Linked DNA regions of Caenorhabditis elegans. The protein of the gene in region 1 purifies or fractionates together with the protein of each later gene. This does not show direct contact. Each region holds a gene or a part of one and is shown in the gene's direction. Other genes may lie near its edges.

Region 1 (7,351 bases):
CATAACATCCCAAAAAGCCCATTTAATCGCAATTTCTGTAACTTTCTTTTTACTAATTCCTCCACATCCAGCAATCAACTCTCGTTTACAGTAATCTATGACACGTGGCACATCAAGCCGCTTCGCAAGCATTAAAAATGTATCTATATTGTCTTCTAAAATTGAAAAATAGTTGCTGAAAATGATTGAATCCTTACTTACCATCCAAACTAAGATCCACTCCATGAATTAATTGAAGAAAATCGTGAATATCTTCAAATTTGCAATTTGCCAGTTGTTCTGACGACAAGACCGTTTGATTTTCAATCAGAGCAAGAAATGTGGGAGATTGTAGGGCGATTATCTAAAAAAAAGGCGGGAAAATCAACAAAAAAAATCAGCGAAAATTTGGAAAAAATGAGCAAAAGAGCAAGTGGTATTGTAACGTATTTGTGTGACTTTTCATATGGAATATGTGAAGCGGGGGAAGATTTAAATTTTTCGCTTACTGTTCAAATGTAACGTAAGTTACTTTTTTTTTTGAAATTTTTCATTGAAGCCTATCTAGCTTTTCTCACAGTTCACGAAATATCCCTATTTTTCAATTGATTAAATAAAGTATTTAACGCATGTCTCGAAAATTGACTCTCAACATTTTCAAAACTTATGATTTTTTTTTTTTGAAAAATATATCTAAAAACAGATTCAATGTTTCCCTACAACATGTACTATACAAATGGAGACTATTTTCAATAAGGATTTTTAAAAAATTTATAATGAAAATGATAATCTAGAAAAAATTGAGGAGATAGTGTGGAAGATAGTGTAGGGGTTTTTATAAAAACTATGTGAAACAGCAGATATTTTCAATTATATTTATTTATTGTTTTGGATGATTTAGTTTGGGATTCCTTACCTTTTTATTCAAAAACATTCGAACTCCCAGCACATTGGCCTCCGTATCATGAATAACTGGATTAAAATTGTACAAATCGAGATATTCCACAAAATCACACAACTCCGCCGATCGAACTATAAAACTGCATTCTAATTCCAGTTTCTGAGTTTTTAAATCATAAAATCCATTGCTGTCTTCAATAATCTTTTCATTTTCTGACATTTCCACATTCAGCTCATTTTCATTCCCTCCAAATGTAAATGTTCCTTTAACTACGATAGAATTATTTGAATTCACGTGGTTTTTGATGGTAAACCCATAATCTATTTGAATCGAGTCAATTTTGTTTGTATCAGTGTTTTTGTTGAGTTCTTTTGACAATTTTAAATTTATTTTGTCGGTTGGCACAGAATTCAAAGTTTCCACGTTAAGTTTCCTGGAAAAATTCCACTGTTTCAAGAAAATTACTTTATAAATTTTCCAATATGATTGATATTCTCACTGAATGTTTTGGGAAAAAAATTAAAAAAAAACACATAAATTTTCAAAGTCAGTGTTCTACAGAAAAATTTTTGAAAAAAATAATATTTACAATTGTATTATTACTCAGTTATTGTTTCAAAATTGCCTTTAAACCTTCGAACTAGAAATATTGAGAAAATTTGCAAAAAAATAAGAAAAAAAAATGCGGTTTCACGAAACTTTCTAATTTTGAAGAGGTTTGCAAAGGCAGTTCCTGCCTCTCATATCGATTTTAATAAAAAAAATATATTTTCTCTTAAATTCACCTTTTTTATTTAAAATCAAAACCTCTTACCACTTCACATTATGAATATTTCGAATTCGAAACGAATAATTTGTGGAGCTCTTGGGTACGTGCAAAATGGTGGAATGAGATCCCAGTGGAAAATGCTCTGAAATTAAACATTTTTAATCAGAGAAAAACATTTAAAGAGCTTACCCGGCGGTTTTCGAAGATTTTCTTTCATTACCAAAATGTATCAATGGTGGTAAAAATAAATAAATTGAGAAATAAGCAAAGGTGACGTGGAAGATGTAATGTGATATTATTCCACGTGAAGTGGCCTTTTTTTTTTGAAATTTTGTCACGCATTTTTTTATTAATAAAATGAACGGAAAAAAGAAGGACGTGTTTTTCTTGCTTTCCATTTTGTGGGTGGAGCCTAGTCAAATATTCTATTAAAAAAATGTGCTGAAAAATTGTCATGAACTATGAAATTGGAATTCCATTTCGAGATTCGAAAATACGGCCCTCAAAAAGTTTTGAGTAATTGAATTAGGACAATTATTTTCAAAATATTAATTTACTGTTTCAGAACTATGTGATAAAAAATCTTCATTCCGTTAAGGAATTTTGCACTTTTTTAAACACAATTATTAAGCACGGCAATAGTTGTTATCACTGAAGCTCCGTTCAACTTGTACTCCCTTCACGAACTTTAACAATGAGTAATACAAATCAAGTCCGGCCTCTCCAGCATGGTACAACTCGACAATTCGATCGATGGTGCAGGATGGAGTCTCGTACATCTTTTTGGCCATACATTCAACTATTGGTTGTGCTATCTTTTTGTAGGCACTTTCATCATTTAAAACGTTTTCGTGGATATTCCGGGGCTGTTGATTTTCCGCTGCACAGATTTGGAATGTTTCGATTGCGTTAACCTGAAATTTTATCTAATAGTTTTCTGAAAAATAGTTTTCTGTTTCATCATTTTGATGAATACTTGTTTTCATTCTGAAAATAATTTCGTAAAGATTTTCGTAAACCTGTTTCAAAATAGATTCCTTACATTTATGAAACAGTGGAAAGCGTCTCCATAAACTTTCTTGCCAATGTATTGGGCATAATCCAATGAAGTAACTACAATCTTTGGTAGTGTGCACTTGAAGTCTCTTTTTTCTTCTCCCAGACAGATGGTCACATTCTCAACAAGTTGAAGTCCTTTATTCATCAAACCAATGTTGTAAAGTGTTGATATAGAATTCAGTTTTGGGTAGACTTCTCTGATTAGTTCCTGAAATTCCAATTTTTCCGAGCTGAAACAGGTTCAACTAAGGAACCCGCGTAGTGTCGGGCGCTATATAACACTTTGGTGTCAAATTACCATTTCAGCATTTACTCTGGAATTCTTCAATATCCTGGAAAACTTACAAAATGTGGCTGAGCGCATGCCAGAATTTTTTTGAATTCTTCGGAGCATGACGGATTATCTGATGCATGCTTCAAAAAATCGTCCAAGAAGTCGGCAACTGTTACAGTTGGAAAAGCAAGGAAAAGCACAAAAAGTACAGTTTTCGACATGGTTTTCAGTGAGGAATATTGATATTGTTGCGCCCATTTTATAGAGGATTCGTTTCAAAACATAACTCTGAAAATAAAGGGAAACGTTCAGGAGAAAATGTTTTTAAAAATGAATGAAATCATAGGAAACAAAAACTCTGAATCATATTGATAACAATGTACCATTGAGAGAAAAAACTTTACAAATATTTCTGTTTCAAAATTTTAATAATTTGGGTGGAAAATGTCTAGAATTGTTGGTCCGTTCTTCATCTGACATCTTGAACTTATTTAACTTCTTTAAGACTTATCAAAAATATATAATTTTTTTTTAAATGTTTTATTTTTACACCGAAAATAATATCATTGTTTCGAGTGCATTTCAATTTATGCCAATAAATGGGAAAGAAAGTATATGGAGACGAGTTCAAATGCTTCCGAGATGTAAGTAAGGCTAATGTGTGTGTGTTTTTTTTAAATGTATAATATTATTCATGAAATAACTATGAAATTAATAATACTAATGTACTAATAATACTAGTATAATTCTTGAAACCGTAAATCTGTTAACTTTTGGCAGAAAAGAAATATTCAATCAACTGGAAGTTCAACGATCTTTTTATTTTATAACCTCAAAATTTGAATTTAAAAAAGTCAACTATGGTTTCATTAAAATGTATTTTATTTTTTTGCATAATTTGAACAGTTGAACTAATAAATTATCTAATGAACTTTTAAAGAATTTTAATAACCGTTTAACATGATGCAGCGAAGTCATGGGTGTCGATTTTTCCGATTTTTTGATTTTTCGAAAAATATTTCAAAACATTTGACCATTTTTTTTATAGAAAACATTATATACTTTAGTTTTTTCATTAACAACAACAGAATTTGATGAAAAATTGAATTTTATCGTTGCTTTTCTGAGATTTTTTTTTTTGATTTTTTTAAGTTTATCGAATCAAAGGAAACTACGCTACTATTGGAAGGAGCTTGAAACAATTTTTTTGAAAATTTCACATGTGAAACTTGTATGAGAAGTTTCAAAAATGTGTGCTATACCACAGCTATATCATTAAACTTGTCAGAAAATTTTTTTATGATTATATTTGTGAAACAAAATTTTTATTCGCCAGAAATTAAATAAAGAAACAAATTATGCTCAATTTTGAAAACATACAAAAAATTATCACAGATTCAAGTATTCTTCAATTTGCCTTAACTTTTCTTAAAAATGTTGAACTTCTTTCCTAGTATCCGTCTAAATTTTGAATCAGATTTTTTTTCCAAAAATACATTTTGCATTTATATCGAATCTCGATTTACAGTGGATTTGTCATGTTTTTAATTCAACCCTGATTTTTCCGATCTTTTCATAGAGTTTGTTTTTAAAAATGAAACAATATAAAAAGGGAATCAATTCAGTTGTGTTCCTCACACCAAATCCCAATGCTGAAATATTGTCTTCTCGTGCTTTTCCTTGGTTTTCCAAGTGCTACAGCCGACTATTACGATGTGTTATTGGAAACTTCCATGGAAAATTCGACATGCGGAGAAGAATCTCATAAAATTTTCATGTGTCTACTTCCGCATTATGTAAGTTGTACTTTATATCTACCAGCCCGGCAGATGTCGGCCGCGCGAATTATAAGTTTCCATCCGAGATTTTCAGAGGTACATAGAGTCCGTGTTCCCAGTCCTGGAATATAAATCTCTCTCTGATTATAAATTGGTGAGCCTTCAACTTGCACATCTTCAATTTGTCGTGGACTGTTTGAAATTAGAAACCACCGAATACACGTGTGAACTACCACAAGTCACCATTTCCCTGATGAAACGTTCCCTATCGGTGGGAATGAAGATTGATGGAGACGCGTTCATGTGCTTCCGAGATGTAAGTTGACTTAAGTATTTATATAATTCTTGAAACCGCAATATTTAAATGTTCAGGCCGACATTGCCAAAGCCTCTGAACACTGCGAAAAGTCAGCCCGAGTCTTTGAGGAAAAAGTCGAAGTTTTGCCAAAAGACAAGTCGGATTCGGTAAAGGAAATCAATCCAATGGTGGACTGTATTGCCAAAAAACTTAAGGACACTCCATCATGCACTAGAAGTCAAATTGAGGTTCTGTATTTGGTTGCAGGTGCAACTAGTGATCACGTTTATACGGAAAGTTTGACTGAAAAGGAAGTCCCAGTTAGTTCGACAGAAAAAGCAGTTCCAGGTTTGGTAGAAAGGGCAAATCCAACCAAGTGGAGTGAGATGAAACATCAGTGATATTAAATATAGTTTGTGATAAATGCATTTATGAAATGACAATTTTTTTTTACCAGCCGTGGTCCGCACCTCCGGCGCGGCCCCCGACTTCTGGAGCTGAAAACTAATTTTTTTGAAGCTACCGTAATCATACAGTACTCCTACCGTACCACTATTGTACCACTACAGTACCCTGACTATATCCCTACACTAAGCCCAACTCACTATCCCTCCAGAAGCCAAAACGTCACAGACTACAAAGACTACATAGACTACAAACTATGGACAAACGGAATAAGCGCTTTATATATAGTAAATGATAGTTGAAGGTTTTTTTTTTGCTTTAAATGACAGAAATTAGACTCTAATAACCGAATACAACAGTAAAAAGTTCAAAAAATTTCAAAAAATTGTCAAGGATATGACAGAAGACACATTGAACATAATTGGATTAGAAAATAATTTGGAATTGAAGAGGAAGCGGGTTTTTTGTAACCACGGAATGCAATGCAAAAGGCAGAAGTTTTTGGAATTTTTTTTTGAATTGAAATTTTGGAATATGTGACAGTTGAAGCAGTTTTTCTCAGATAGAACAATTTAGGTTTGTGGGGGAACCATTTAAATTTATGAAAATATAGAAGGGAACCTAAAAAGCTGAAGAAACTCCGAAAAGATTTTCCGCTAACATTTGGTGAAACAGGAATACTTTTTGAAAAAAATTACATTTCTACCGAATAATCTATTTTAATGACTAAAATATACAGATACCAATACTCTAATTTAACTCGCCCTCCATTTGTTAAACACAAATCCCAAAAACTCGCCTTTAAGCAGCTTGTTTCCATATTTTCAGACCCTTCCAACATGGTTTTGAAAATACTGTTTTCTATAATATTTCTTGCAAAATACGCATATCTGGCACCCACAGATGAGATTTGTCAGTTGGGATCGTCGAGAAGCTGTGTGATTGCTCTGAAGTTAGCTGTGGAAAAGTCCTCATCAGGTTACTGTACGGATATTGAAGTGAGTTTTTGAAACATTTAATAAAAAACACGGATGAAACAATAAAATACATTTACAGAGATACTGTAACGATGAGAACAAGTATTGCTTTGCTGGATATTCGAAAAGTATAGACCAAATCTGTGGGCTCGCAAAGGTCAGAAGAAATGAACCGACGTCATTAAAACCCACGCGCCCGACGATTCCAACAAAATTAACTACCACGCCCTCTGAACTATCAACCACCACAGCTTCTGTACCGACAACCACAACATCGGTACCAACTACCACGACTACCGTACCAACTACCACAACTACCGTACCAACTACCACAACTACCGTATCAACTACCACAACTACCGTACCAACTACCACAACTACCGTACCAACTACCACAACTACCGTATCAACTACCACAACTACCGTACCAACTACCACAACTACCGTACCAACTACCACAACTACCGTACCAACTACCACAACTACCGTACCAACTACCACAACATCGGTACCAACTACCACGACTACCGTACCAACTACCACAACTACCGTACCAACTACCACAACTACCGTATCAACTACCACAACTACCGTACCAACTACCACAACTACCGTATCAACTACCACAACTACCGTACCAACTACCACAACTACCGTACCAACTACCACAACTACCGTACCAACTACCACAACTACCGTACCAACTACCACAACATCGGTACCAACTACCACGACTACCGTACCAACTACCACAACTACCGTACCAACTACCACAACTACCGTATCAACTACCACAACTACCGTACCAACTACCACAACTACCGTACCAACTACCACAACTACCGTATCAACTACCACAACTACCGTACCAACTACCACAACTACCGTACCAACTACCACAACTACCGTAT
Region 2 (7,001 bases), on another chromosome or scaffold:
AAATCCTCCAAAATTAAGTATAAAATTCTTCCAGAGGGCTGTGTCAAGAAGCAGCATGTGACACCGATTTCTACTGTGCACCTTCAAGCAATTAGTGATGTCATTCTCAATTTGAATTTAAACAGAATAAACTATTTTTAAAAGTAACATATTTCACTCTCTTTTTTAGGAGAATGTTTCGATACTCTACAAAACTAGTTTTTTTGTGGAGAGGAGGGGGAAGGCCTTGTGTCGGTATTTCGATATTCACCAGTGAATATGAATGAACTTTTTATGAATCACAGAATTGAGGCGATAGAGTCATTCGAAACTTTTTTCAATTGTTTGACACAAGAATGTCTCATAGGTTTTATTGATTTTTCTATTCTTTTTTTTACTTTTTGGTAACTTAGCGGTAGGAGATTTATAGATTTATAGGTCAAACTGAAAATGTTTTCAACTTTGCCTATGATTTCCATTCGACGTTTTTCGTAATTGTTGAGTAAAAAAAATTGTTTTTTAGAAATGTGATGTATATTTCTAAATCTAAATATATGTATGTATTTTATTCTAGTAATTAAAAAAGAGATTTTACATTTTTAAAACAAATAAATTTTGGTTTTGAACTAATTTTTTTTTGAGAATTTTTGATAGGTTTTAATTAGCCTATAGGGCTGGAACACCGGACGTTCGAAAAATCTGACGCACGCAACGTCCGGTTTTTTTTGTTTTGTGTTTACAATCTCTCTCACTCTCACTGAGATTGTAAATAAAAACAAAAAAATAACCGGACGCCAAAATTCAAATTTTCATTGTGCTTCTTTTTCTAAAATTTTTGGTTTTTCTGAAAAAAAAAACATACCCTGTTGGAATATTTTGTCTTGCATCGTGAGTTTTATTAAATAAACCTCTCCTGAAGCTCAATCAGATCTTAAACTCATATTTTAATTTGAGAATGTATCATCGCCGAGTTATTCAAATGAATGAAAAAGAGCTCCGAGCAGTTACAGCAATTGTGTTACCCGGAAGAAAGGGTGATCAGCTGAAAATTGGAGAAATGCAAGAAATGTGCATAAAGTGGCAAGTTGAATTAATATGATATGAGTTCATTAACTCTGTCTTTTCCAGGTTATTCTCAAATGGACTCTCGATTAACCACGTTTTCGAGATTCATGATGATGGAGATGGTGATTTATTTTGTGTGATGAGAAATTCCGATGCTTGTTGGTGTTGTCCAAAATGTATGATCGATTTCTTTTAATATGTCGGCCACAATCTCAGAAGCATGGGTCTTGTATTTCAACTTGTTTATTTTTAACTTTTTAGCCTCTGAACTAGGAACTCTAACTGATTTCGATCGAGGTCCAATTGGGGACAATTATAGAAGAACACCATCTCCGGTTCGAAAACCAACTACCGAAACAACAAAAGAAGATCTGGAACCTGAAAAGAAAGTGAAATTTGCACTTCCTTCTCCCGAACTTCCAGCTTCTTCGCCGCCACCAAAACCACAGAAACCAAAACTGCCATCTCAGAAAATTGCTCCAATTACAGTTCAGCCAACAATCGTGACGATTCCGGATAAAATACATAAAGAAGGAAAAGAGCAACAAGGAGCATGTGCATATTGTAAAAGAGAATGTGGATTATGTATTGTCACGTTATGTGCACAATTTTGAAATTAATATTTTATAAAATTTACTTTTTGATATTCTTTTCTGAAAAACCATGACTTTTCCAAAAGAAAATATCAACAACTACGCCAGTTCTTCGTTCAATTATAAATACCTAATTGAAGAATTTCTTCAATGGAGCTCCTCATGTAATCGGTAATTTTTCTTTTTCTTATTTGTTAAGATTTAAAAAACAAATTTCAGCATCTCCTATCCTACCAAATACTTTGATTTTCTACTCGTCATCATCATGACTTTTGTGTTCCTTTGTCTAGTATATTTACTTATTTGGATTGAAGTTTTGTTGAATTCTTCTCGGCCTGGTAAGCTTTATATATTTGATTTTATATATAGAGTGTTGGTCTGGGCTTTGGAAAACATATCAGCCTCATTTTTTAGGAATTATGACGTCGCTGTTTTCTTATTTTCTATATTACGTTACCGCGAAAGTTGGCGACGCTCTACCGAACTCCGTGTTAATTTACGGGCCTGAGACGTCCTACTGCCAAAAAATGAGGTTACCACATGTTTCAGACGCTAAATAACTATGGAATACTCTGACTACACATGATTACTTGGTATTTATAAAAAATACTAATTTTCAGATCCAAAGCATCGTGTCTATTACCCGAGAACAAATTTTTGGCAGAGAACAGACTAGAAGATTTTGATAATTATTTTAAGTTATTTTTTAATTTTTTTTCTGACTATGAAGTTTTTAGAAATTAAAATTTGTTAGTTTTGTTGTCAAACAGAAGTGTTATAATTCACCCGCAATTAATTTATGTTAAAGCAACAAAAAGAGGTTCAATTTTCAGAGGAGTACATTCTGAAATATAGATAACTGAGTACTTTGAAGAAGCTTGGCCTTAATAGTTTGGAATTTTTCGCCCAACTTTTTTTGGCCATTTTTCTTTTCAAATCTTTGATACCAGGCCGGCTGCGGAAAGGAGAGTGGCAATTGTTTGGAACATGGAAAAATGAGAAGAAGATTTACACGGTTCAACTTGAATAACAAAAGAATGATATAATTGCCAAAGATTTCTATTTTGAATGCACAATGCTCCACCGCCACGTTTCAGTTGTGATTTCTGAAAACAAAAAGTGTGCTATTTCACTTTATGAATACTCTTCAAGTTTATGATTGAATGTTTTTCGTGGCGAGTCTGTGATCCTTAAAAAACGATATGTGACCAACCTGCCTATTCATATCTCCAAAACAAACAATCGGATTGGTCTGAGAATTTGAAACCGCCCATTTCGAATGATCCTTCGAGCTCGCGAAGTTCAGCCCGGTTACACGCATTTCTGTGACGTCATGAGTCTGAAATTCTGATTTATTTCACGTCTGAAATTATCAATTTCATACCTGACTAGTACTCGTACAAGTTGTATGAATATCGTCTCCACTGCCATTCAACCAACTCTCCACTGCTAGTGTTACTTTATTTTGGCGGGATATCAAATCATTCCAAATATCTGTTTAAGCTCATAGCCCTATTACAGTTTTAAATATAATTTTCCAATTTACCTCCATCAAACTTTTTATGTTTGGCGTAGGCCATCAATGTAACTCCTTGTACGGTTTTAATCGGCTTTGAGATCCAAAATTGAGTGGCTGAACGTGGCAGACTTTGTTTAGCTTCAACATTTTTCAATGTAGGGAATCGAGTTGCATATTTTTCCGGTATATTTATTATGTAGGGAGTCGCCTGAAAGTATGCTACAGTTACTAAAATTCAAATTTCCGCTTAAAATGTTATCAATGAAGCGATTACTCGCCAAAAATTTAATTTATATTAAGCGACTCGATTATTTATTTTTTGATTTTTTTTTCAGAATTTACCCATCTGGCTCAATCCGGTCAAATCCGTTAAGTTTCACTCTTTTTGATACTCGTAAAACTATTTCTGTGCTTGTAATCTTAAGCCACGCCGACTACCATAAGCTTCTATTATCAATGGAGCGCGTTTACTTGAACGGTTTTTCTTGTTCTTTTTCTTTGTTTATCTTTTGAATTTTATATAATTATATCAGTCGATTTTATTTTCTTATTAGTGTTTGAAAAGCTAGGAAACTTTATAAACAATCAGTTGAAAAATTTGTTGTTAACTTTTTCATGCGTCTTTTAGATTTATAAGCCAGGCAGTCAAAATTCGTTCAAAAGTAGCTTTAAAAAACTTTATAACAGGTTTTTCTAAACATACCTGAATATATTTCCAATGCTCTGCGAGCTCTGTTAGATGTTGAACTTCCATTGATGCGCAGAAAAATGATTGTCCATATTTCTCAGCCGTGTTCGGATAGGAAAAGCTTTTGATGGGTGGAAAATTCGGTACACTATGAATTAACCAAAATCCAGTAGTTGAATCAAAAAGTGATACTCCTTTCGCATGTCCTCTATATGAATCAGCTGACTTTATAGGATCATCATCACTGTACATGAACCAAAAATTGTTTGATTTATCAGCAGAATACACTTGGGAAACTGTTGCTCCCACAGCAACATTTGGATCATTTATGTCATTTCCACGTGTCCAATCTGATGATTCGGCATCGAAATAAACAAATTCTTTTCCAGATGTTCCAGCGCCGGAAAGTTTTGGAAGTTTATAAACGACAAACCTGAAGTTTTTTGGTTTCAGATTAATTTTTCTGAAGGCATGAAGCCTAAGAGTAAGAATACTCACCAGTCCACAGATTTTCCACGCATATTCTTGCACTGAATTTTGCCATTTCCAGTTGTAAAAATCACAGAAAATATAAGAACAAAATATAATCGCATCTCTCACCACCTACTGAATTGTTTCATTCATTCCCATCATCATCGACCCACTTTCTGAAAAAAACGATATTTTTTCTTCGTTTCTTTCTCTCAGTTTTTTTCTGTTTGACGATCTCTGTCTCTTCTCGTCCAAAACAGCCGTGATGTATGTATTGACCGAAATTTTTCAAGTGTAAAGTGGTGGCCGTGGCCTAATGTATTTTTGACCAGAAATGCTCACGAGTCATGTTTGCTCCATATTTATTTTGCACTGTTTTATTCTTCCTCATCTGCTCTTGATTAATTATACAAAAATGACGTTTTTTTCCAGAATGAGCAAATCAAACAAAAAGTCCAAGCCAAAGTACACATTGGAAAACCTTCAGCAGATTCCCGGAGTCCTCGCTTTCATGATTTGCAAAGGAAATACAATTGTAAGATTTTATAAAATAATTTCTAGAAAAAATACTTGTTGCTCAATTCTAAATATAAATTTACACATTTTTTTGGTAAGAAATTTTAATTAAAAAATTTTCCAGGCCCACAGCACTTTCCTCGAAGCGGAGAACCCTCGTCAAATTGCCTACAATGCAATGCGAATGGCAACTCGAACTCAAGGAACTGAACTCCGTGATCTAAAAGTGCACACGATCCAAGTTCAATACGACGACTTCCAAATTGAAATGTTCCAAATCGGCGGACACTTTTGCATCCTCAAGAAACGTGTAGATACTGATTAAAAACTTACTCACTTTACCTCCCCCCCCCCCCCCCCCAGTGCATTCCTTCCCTGAAAAGTAACCAAACCCATTTTTGAATTGATGTCTCGTTATGTATGCTTTTCTATTTTATAAATTTCATTTTTCAAAAGTCTAAAAAAACAATAAAAACAAGAATTCTAGTTGAAAACTTCCTACCAATTAACAAAAACAAAATTAAAGTGGGTATTCATAAATTAACGACGTTTCCAGATCCATTTAGCACGAGCACCCGGTTGATTCACCTTGCTTCTTTCGTTTTTCCGTGGGTCCAGTGTTAGAAGTCCAGCTGTAATTTAGGAATTTATAAGTTTTTTACAAAATAAATGTCCTTACATAATCTTAGTGGTTCGATAGCTTCTGGTTGCAAAGCGGCAACACAAAGTGCAGTTCCATGGCGAACAGCACGCGGTAGAGCACTCATTCCTCCACTTCGCATTCTGCAGAAAGTGATTATACTGTTGCAGAGTAACAAATTTTAATAGTCTCACAATGGCGCCTTGTTTGGTGCTTCTGGAAGAGTATTAGAAATACATGAAGTTGTCGCTGTTACATCAAATCGACCGAGAGACTGACTGACAATCATTGGTGCAAGAAGAATCTCTCTGAAATTATGTTATCAGAAAAATTCGATGTTCGCAAAATATACCTGGCTTGAAGATGCCTGAAATCGTGCAATTGGAGACCATCAATATCGAATTTTCCTTTTCCTGCGTCTGTGACCTTAACTGTAGCACGAGTATCTTTACATCGTGTTCTGAAAAAAAAACTGTTCAATTATTCAGTTTACAATTAGAGAAAATTTGTTTAATTAAAAATTACAAGTATTTTTAATGGCAAAACTAATTTTAAGGTTATCAAATCATTAGATTTTTGGCAAAAATTCTCTGCTGTCTTTTAAAAGAAGGACAACTCACGTCACTTCTGCATATCTTCTGTTGGTCACTGCACAAACATGCACTTCAGGAATCGCAGGACCGAACAATTTGGATCCAGTTGAAGCGGTCATTGGCTCTCTGAATTCCATCAAAAACTTTTGTTCAATAGCTGATCCTGGTAATGAAGCAAGATGCTCAAATGCAATGATGACTTGTCCGTACAATTCTTTTGAAAATTTTTCCGAGAGCTTTTTCTTCAATTTGTCAGCTGTAACCCATTGAGAACCGCTCAGATTTCTGAAAATTAATAAATGTTTCAGTAGAAAAAATGGTTACTAATTACGCTGGTTCCAAATCACTTCGATTTACCGATCGACTTCCAACATGTTCATCATAAAACTTCATAACAGAATGCGTTTTGACTCCAATATCCGACAAAAGCCCGTAAATTTTTGGACTTAATGTGAAAAATCGGGATCCTTCTGGTTTTCCTTCTTCGTCAAATGTGAATCTTTGGAATTTTGGAAGAATTTCATCTGGTGGTCTCATAACTGGACGAGCATTTGGGTCGGTTAATCCAGAAGGAAATAAATATAGGATTGCTCTGAAAATGCCAATTATGATAAATATGACAAAACACTGTTACAAAACCTGTCAATTGCCTCTTGATCGAGTTCATGAATGTCAAGACTCATCATTTTGGCAAGATGTCGACGTCCTGTCTCGAACTCTGCTCTTAAAATGCTTTATTAACGATTTTCACTTCAAAAATCGATAAACCTGTGTTTCTCCATCATCGCCACATGTTGTTGACTGTGTTTCAAATAAGTTTCCAGTGCTTTACCAATTTTTCGAACTGAAGTGTCGCTATCTGACCTGAAACACGATTATTTATTGAAAGAAATAAGAGAAACGAATGATACTTACGCAGACGCTGGCGAAGCAGAGC
Region 3 (8,065 bases), on another chromosome or scaffold:
TTGCGAACAAATTTTTTTCATTTAAAAAATTAAAAATTCAACAATTTTTTTCTGTGCAAAATTGTTATATATTTAGCATTAAAACACAATTTCCCCACAAAAAAATTTAATTTTTTCCAGAACTACCAAAAAAATCCAAAAAAAAACTGTAAAATTAACGAAAATGAGTAAATTTTGATGCAAAAATTATCAAAATTACCGAAAATTCACTTTAAAAAACTAAAAAACCGTTTGAAAAACGTAATTTTAAGCAAAAAACTGAATTTTTCGTATTCAAATTTTCCAAAAAATCCCAAAGTTTTTTATAAAATTACTGTTTTTTTTTGCTATATAAATGCGATTTTTTTTCACCAAAAAATTTATTTTTAAAAAATTCAAAAATTTTTCGATTTTTTCTGTGTAAGATTCTTATTTTTGGCCTAAAATATTGAATTTTTCGCTATTTTTACACGATTTCCCCAAAAAACAAATTTTCCAGAACTCTTGTCATAATAAAGTATACATTATAAAAAATTTGTGAAAAAAATACTCAAAAAATCCCAAAAAAAAACTATAGAATTAACGAAAATGAGTAGATGTTAATGCAAAAGTTATAACAATTACCGAAAATTGATTTTAAAAAATTTTTTGAGAATGAACCATTTTTGGCATATGTTCTATGACCCTTTGTCTGAAAATTTCAAATTTTTGTTTACACTACTAAAAAAATTGGATTTTTGTTAAAAATTCGTGTCCAAAAATCCAAGTTTTTCGTAAAATTACGATTTTTAAACGGTTTTTCTGTGCTAAATTAATGCGAAAAATTTTTTCAACAAAAATTGCGAAAAAAAAATTTTTAATTTAAAAAATGAAAAATTCAACTTTTTTTCTGTGCAAAATTGTTATATATTTGGCATTAAAAACACAATTACCCCACAAAAAAAAATTCGATTTTTTTCCAGAACTCGCGGCACGATCATATAGCCCTATTCTACGGATACGTATCAGATCCAGTGACGAATACGTACGCAATTGTCACGAATTTCTATCAACACAACACTCTTTATCACCGAATTCATGAACAATTATCCGAAGATTTCGATCAATCGTGGACATTTCAAATTTCGTTGCAAATTTGTCAGGCAATGTCTTATCTGCATAAAAAGAAGATACTTCATCGAGATTTACGAACGAAAAATATTCTTTTGGACAATCCGAATCGAGTCGTTGTTACGGATTTTGCGTTGATGAAGCTTGAGCGGCTGGAGAATCCCCGCAGAAATTGTACACTTTTAATCCCAAATCACTGGATTGACTATCTTTCGCCGGAAATTGCTGGAAATTTGATGATTGATTGGAGGGGTGATGTGTTGTTTCAACATGAACTACCGTTTTCACAAGAATCTGATGTTTATTCGTTTGGGTACGGGGGGATTTTATCGAATTTTTAATTTTTTTTGATTGAAAACCGCTTCCGAAATGCGAAAAATTGCGATTTTTGGCCAGAGGTCTCGCCACGATCGAAACTTCCCCAGCTACAGTCCCTCCGAGAACTTCGAAATTTCTTGGTTTTTTGGGGCGTTTTTCGTAATTTATGAATAAAAATGAGTAAATGTCAAGAAAAAGACAGAATTCAATTTTTGTCGACGTTTTTACTAAAAAGTACGGTATTCAGGGTCTCGCCACGACCGAAACTTTCCAGCTACCGTTCCCACGGGACTTTCGCAGTTTTCCGGATATTTGGCGTATTTTTCAAAATATCGGGAAAACTGCGAAATTCTCGGGGGTACGGTAGCTGGGAATTTTCGATCGTGGCAAGACCCCGGTATTTTGTCGTAAAAATTTCGAAAAAATTGAATTCTGCCATTTTCTTGACATTTACTCATTTTTATTCATAAATTACGAAAAACACACCAAGAAAACCAGGAAATTTCGTATTTTATCGGATTTTTAAGTGAAAACCGCTTTCGAATTGCGAAAAAAAATGCGATTTTTGGCCAGAAAATCCGGTAGCCTTGGGTCTCGCCACAAGAATTCGTTTTTAGAGCTCTTCTCCACGAGGAGTACACGAGCGAGCTGCGTAAATCGACAGCTCTTCCATTTTCAAATTTAATGGAGTTTGGGAGACCGATTTGCAAAATTTCACAAATTTTTACGAAAAACTACGGTAGCTCGGGGTCTCGCCACGATCGAAACTTCCCCAGCTACAGTACCCCCGAGAATTTCGTAATTTTCTTGATATTTGGCGTGTTGTTCGTAATTTATGGACAAAAATAAGTCAATGTCAAGAAAAAGACAGAATTCCATTTTTTTTTCAAAATTTTTACTAAAAAAGACGGTATTCAGGGTCTCGCCATGAACGAAACTTCCCAGCTACCGTACCTACGAGAATTTCGTAATTTTCCTGATATTTGGCGTATTTTTCAAAATATCGGGAAAACTGCGAAATTCTCGGGGGTACGGTAGCTGGGAATTTTCGATCGTGGCGAGACCCGGGCTACCGTTTTTTTTTCGTAAAAATTTGTGAAATTTTGCTAATCGGTGCTCTTCTTTTTAGCGAAAATTAAAAAATGGAAGAGCTGGAGCCTCTCTGTCGATTTACGCAGCTCTCTCGTGTACTCCTCGTGGAGAAGAGCCGAAGATTCTACAGTTTTTAGGTGAAATTCTCGGTTTTGCACCAATTTCGCTAGTTTTCTTCTGTGATTAACATCAAAATCGTCCATTTTTTGCTTATTTCTATGTATTTTGATGAAAATGCGAAAAAAAACACTCAAATTTGGAGTTTTTGACCAGTAAATTCATAAATTATGGATACTGGTCAAAAACTCTAAAATTGAGACTATTTTTGTATTTTTCACCAAAAAATGAACGATTTTGTGTGTTCAATACAAAAAAACCAGTGAAAATGGTCCAAAACTGAGAGTTTTAGCTAAAAATTGGAGAATCTTTACCTCTTCTCCACGAGGAGTACACGAGAGAGCTGCGTAAATCGACACATTGAGAAAAATTTGGAAAAAATCATTAAAAATGAAGATTTTTTCACAAAACTAGTGAAAAAAATCTCAATTTTTGAATATTTTGAGTTAAAAATCGACAATTTTTGAAAAAGCGAAAAAAATTTTTTTTTTAATATTTAAACTTTGAAATTAACACTGAAAAATGCTGCGTAAATCGACATATTGGGAAAAATTTAATAAAAATTAATTTTTTTTCAAAACTAGTCAAAAAACTATCATTTTTTATATTTAAAGTTTTAAAAATCAATAATTTGAAAATTTTCCCAATTTTCAGTACAATTTTCTTCGAACTCCTGCTCCGCCGTATGCCAACGGGCTGTGACTCTTGGGATCAGAAGCTCTACGCGAAAATGTGCGGCCAAAAAGCGGCACTTCAACGGCTCGACGCCCAGCTGCAAAAAATCGACGGAAAATTGCACGAACTGCTGCTGGAATGCTGGTCGAGCCAACCGGAGAAGCGGCCGAGTTTCCAACAAATTGTGAAGCGAATTACAGTTCAAATGCCGAGAAAAGAGTCGAATAAGCAGAAGAGACGCAGCACGGCACACGAGAATCCACTGTTTTAGTGTGTAGAATTATCGATTTTTTATGTACAGAGAGAGAGAGAGAGAAGAGAAAAGAAGAAGAAATTAGACATTTTATCCATTTAAATACCTATATATATATACAAATATTTATCCTATATTCATCCCTGCCCCTGCCATTGATCTTGTTTCATAATCATATCATAGTTTTATCAGAAAAAGAAAAAAAATCCCATTTTTCCATCATTTTTATCCGCGTTTTCCTATTTTCCTCCAAATTTCCCAAATTAATCCCGCCAAAAAAATTTTTTAATTTAAGTTTAATTTCCCGCCGTTTCCCTTCCTGTGCCATCCTTTTTCCCCCCTGAAAAGAAGCAAAAAACGAGTTTTATATACCACAACCGGATTCCTACTATATTAATTCCAATTTTATCCAATGATTTATTTATATTAAATTATATTTTCTTTTTTTCTACCATTTCTGTGCTGCCTTGAAATTTTTTTGTTCCCGCCTTCCTCCCCTGATATATAGTTATATATAGTTTTTCGACAAATTTTCAATTTTCAAATGAAAATATCGACTTTTTAGTTGGAATTTTTTGGGGATTATCCAGGAGTTTTTTACATATTTCATGTAATTTTATTCGCTGAAAATTGATTGAATTTCAGGATTTTCGCGCGAATTTTGGCTGAAATTGGGCATTTTTACGATTTTTCTCTCAAAAACTTGAAAAATTTAATATTTCCCTTTGAAATTTGCAAAATTAGGTTAAATTAAACCTAATTTTGTAAATTTTCGTTAAAAACCGTTAAACAAACCATTTTATTCAGTTTTACAATGAAAAACTAGCCGCGACGCGACACGCGCCGCTCCGTAAATCTACCCCGGCCGTAGCCGAGTCCAAATGGCCTAATTACCGACTTTTGCATAAAAATTGAGTTTTCAACACGATTTTTTCTCTAAAATTTACAACTTTGGAGAAAAATCGTGAAAAAAGCATTTTGGGCAGGTGTGCGCCTTTAAATTACTGTAACTTCGAACTTTGGTTGCTGTGGAATTTTAACCGATTTTTCATAGTTTTTGATTGAAAAAATTCCTACAGTAATCTTTAAAGGCGCACACCTGCTCGCAGTTCAAAAAAGGCGTGGCGAGACCTGGTACCGTAGTTTTGGCGCGAAAATCACAAAATTTGGCGTCTGGGCCTTAGAATAAGCAAGCGCGGCGCGGTTTTTTTTTGAATTTTTCTCTGTAAAATTTTTTTAAAAATCGCAAAATTCAGGATAAAAACGTCTTGGTAATTTTTTTTTCAGATTCCCCAGGAAGACCCTAAAAATGAAATCTCTTCGAGCAACTAACATCACAACGGCCAAAGCCGTCATCATTAAACCTCCCCACCACGTAATTCTCGGCAAGAAGCATCGCCGACGTGTTGGTGGCAATCTTCGGGATACCGCCATTTTCTGCGACTTTCTGACGTCATTTTGCTACGTGGCAATGGAAAGATGCTCGCCGAGCACGGCGGATTGGCCGAAAATGAAGTTTGGACAGGATTATGAGCATTCGAAATGCCCGGATGCACGATTTCAGCGACACGTTGAAGAAAATTGTCAGCTCGCGGAGCAATATATTGCGGCAGGACGATTATTGGCTTTTGAAGGTTTTTGGGCCTAAAATCTAGATTTTTAATTGATTTTATTGTATTTTTTGCTGTAGAAATGCTTTAAAACCCAGAAATAAAACTTGCGCGTCAAATACAATGCACTGCGTACACTTGCGGTGTTTGCACTGAGTGCATTTTAATTGACGCGCAAATCTTTTTTTCTGCATTTTTTTCGAAATTCTTGAATTTTTTAGCTAATTTCAGATGATTTTTGATTAAAAATAACTTGAAATTCTTCCAGTATGCATGGTAACACCGTCGGAAACTCAACTCGTCGGATTTCGTGTCACTATCAGCCGATTGAGGCGCCCTGATGGGTAAATCTTACAGAATTTGATGATTTTTCACTAAAATTTTATAATTTTCAGCCGTAGAAGTCCAAATATCTACGCCAGGCTCTCAGCGATTCTGGAGAAGGTTCGAACGATGGAAATTACGGAAAAATTGGATACAATGATGAGCTCCTGCAGTGAGTTGGCCAAAAAAAAAATCTTCTGAAAATGGGCCAAAATCGACGAAAAAAAAAACCATAAAATATGACTTCTCCAGTCAAAATCGGCAAAAAATGCACCAAAATCGACCAAAATTTACGTAATATTCGCTGAAAATGGTTTTTTAATCCAATTTCCACATATTTCTGAAAATTTTTGTCGATTTAGCTTATTTTCCACCGATTTAAACGGAAAATTCTCAAAAAACGACGAAAATTTGCGAAAAAATGGGAAAAATTCATTAAAAATTGTAAAAAAAATTATTTTTTTATTCAACTTCGCCAGTTTTTTGCAAAAAATTCTATCGATTTTGGCCTATTTTCCAGCGATTTGGGCTAAAAATTCCCAAAAAACGGGAAAAAAATTCAAATTTTCCAGAATATCGCCCTCGAATCCGCCTTCTCGCCCGTCTTCGCCCCCAATCCAAACGGAAAGCCGACAAATCCAAAGTGGCCGATAAATCTCAAACTTTTTCTCTTCCAATTTCAAATTCCATTCGATTAATGTACACTGGAATCTCATTTTATGCTTTTATGTAATTCTGAATTTTTGAAAAAAAACACAATATTTTTTTAGATCACAACGTATTTATTACTTCTTCTTCTTTTCAAGAAAAATAGTCCAGACAAGCCTAATGAGAGCCTGAAAGCCTGGAAATTTTGTCTTGATAGTGATCTATTCGATTTCAGTGAAAAAAATCGCAATCCGTACAGATGGTAGAGGTGGAAATGCGCAAAAAACGCCAAAATCTCAGTGGAAAGTTGGCAAATTTTCGGGAAATCGCAAATTTCGCGAGAGAAATTTGATACTTTTCCCAAAAAATAGCCAAGAAACAGGAAAAAAGATGGAAAAAAAAGTGGGAAGGAATGCGAAAACCTGGGAGATCGAGGTTCGACTCGCGCGAAAATTTAAAAATTAAGGCTTCTGAGAGATTTAAATGAATGGGTGGGTGGGTGAGGGGGAAAATTTAAAATTTTCAAAAAAAACCAATAGACTAGAGAACAAATTTAGCCGGGATTACTGTAGCAGCTAAACTGTGTGGATTATATATATTAAAAGATTATAAGATATTGATAGATATATAGGATTACTGTAGACTGTAGGCTTGGTTACTGTAGGATAGTGTGACCAGACTCGGGGGGATATGAACATTAAAATATGACGTGGCGAGACAGAGAGAGACAGAGAGAGATAGAGTGAGAGAGAGAGAGAGTGGGGGTGCTAACACAGAAATAACGAGACATAGAGAAAAAGAAGAAAAGATGGTACAAAAACAGAGTGAAAATAACCTAAAAAGGTCGATTTTCAGTATGGGGAAAAATGAAAAAAAATGAAAAAAGAAAAATCGATAATAGAGATTTAGAGGCCGCCCATTTTTCTTGGCGAGTTTTCCCAGAAAATATTGAAAAACTAATCGAGAAAAAGTGGCGTGTGACCCGGCCAAAATCAATTTTTGAAGTTGGGTACACACTTGATAATTATTGATTTTTGAGACTGTGAAAATCTCCAAATTTCCGTGGAAAAACAGTTTTTAGGCGAAAAATTTGGTAATTTTCAGTGAAAATCGACTGAAAATGGACAAAAATGTACGAATAATTAGCAAATTTGGCTAAAACTCAAGAAAATCGTAAAAATTCAGTGTAAAAAAAGATTTTGCCCGTCAATTAGAATGCACTCGGTGCAAACACCGCGAGTGTACGCAGTGCATTGTATTTGACGCGCAAGTTTTTTTTCATCGGTTTTTTCACGTTTTGTGCACAAAATCGACAAAAAACTTGGGAAAAAGCCAAAATATCAGAAAAAATCGATAAAATTTAATTTTCAATCAATATTTTGCAAATTTTCAGTCAAAATCGGCTAAAAATGCACTAAAATCGACCGAAAATTGCAAAATAGTGGCAGAAAATCAATTTTTTCCTGTTTTCTGCATTTTTGCAGATTTTCCCACGTTTTTTGCACGAAATCGGCAAAAAAAAAACTCGGAAAAATGTGTTTCGCAATTTTTTGTCGATTTTTACGGAAAATGCACCAAAATTTGCAAAAAAATTGAAAAAACCGTGCAAAATTTGAGAATTTTGGCTATTTTTTCACTAAATAATTCAAAATTTTCGCCGAAAGAAAACCCGTTTTTCCGGGAAATTTGGAGCCATTTTGAGCATTTTTGTGGGGGGCAAAAACCAATAATTAACAAAACATATAAGTGAAAATGGACAAAAAATGGAAGAAAAAGGTGAGGAAAAATCCAATATGTACAGGAAAATCATCACGTTTTGGTGGGGGGGAAAACTAAAGGAAAAAAACGCGAAAAAAAAGATGGGCGGTCTAAAATATCGAATTTCTAAGATTTTTCGGGTCAAAAAATGAAAACGGGACGGGGGAATACCTGTATTTGT

What was found. Proteins that work in one complex are often made in the same cells at the same time.
Region 2: the proteins of F55B11.3 (region 1) and F09G8.7 fractionate together in Caenorhabditis elegans (co-fractionation; one large-scale study listed by BioGRID). This does not show direct contact.
Region 3: the proteins of F55B11.3 (region 1) and F58D5.9 fractionate together in Caenorhabditis elegans (co-fractionation; one large-scale study listed by BioGRID). This does not show direct contact.

What each region holds. Positions count from the first base shown.
Region 1 is NC_003282.8:14,420,078-14,427,428, forward strand, and holds F55B11.3 (DUF19 domain-containing protein), read left to right. Parts: upstream 1-4,618; 5' UTR 4,619-4,631; coding exon 4,632-4,778; intron 4,779-4,854; coding exon 4,855-5,076; intron 5,077-5,132; coding exon 5,133-5,459; 3' UTR 5,460-5,492; downstream 5,493-7,351. Other genes in the region: F55B11.7 (BTB domain-containing protein), read right to left, coding at 1-155, 202-343, 896-1,313, 1,695-1,791, 1,839-1,866; F55B11.2 (DUF19 domain-containing protein), read right to left, coding at 2,276-2,563, 2,692-2,916, 3,054-3,203.
Region 2 is NC_003281.10:8,266,102-8,273,102, reverse strand, and holds F09G8.7 (uncharacterized protein), read left to right. Parts: upstream 1-4,747; 5' UTR 4,748-4,748; coding exon 4,749-4,850; intron 4,851-4,955; coding exon 4,956-5,156; 3' UTR 5,157-5,182; downstream 5,183-7,001. Other genes in the region: clec-160 (C-type lectin domain-containing protein 160), read left to right, coding at 35-95; F09G8.10 (uncharacterized protein), read left to right, coding at 935-1,059, 1,108-1,220, 1,306-1,658; mps-4 (MinK-related peptide, potassium channel accessory subunit protein 4), read left to right, coding at 1,708-1,808, 1,857-1,975, 2,258-2,313; crn-7 (Cell-death-related nuclease 7), read right to left, coding at 2,570-2,743, 2,851-2,976, 3,022-3,131, 3,184-3,364, 3,860-4,277, 4,343-4,437; mrps-9 (Small ribosomal subunit protein uS9m), read right to left, coding at 5,372-5,463, 5,511-5,614, 5,666-5,779, 5,824-5,931, 6,092-6,349, 6,396-6,656, 6,704-6,787, 6,833-6,928 and 1 more.
Region 3 is NC_003279.8:12,043,382-12,051,446, reverse strand, and holds F58D5.9 (Cystatin domain-containing protein), read left to right. Parts: upstream 1-4,828; 5' UTR 4,829-4,853; coding exon 4,854-5,178; intron 5,179-5,422; coding exon 5,423-5,498; intron 5,499-5,549; coding exon 5,550-5,650; intron 5,651-6,050; coding exon 6,051-6,211; 3' UTR 6,212-6,246; downstream 6,247-8,065. Other genes in the region: ksr-2 (Kinase suppressor of Ras B), read left to right, coding at 942-1,402, 3,271-3,562.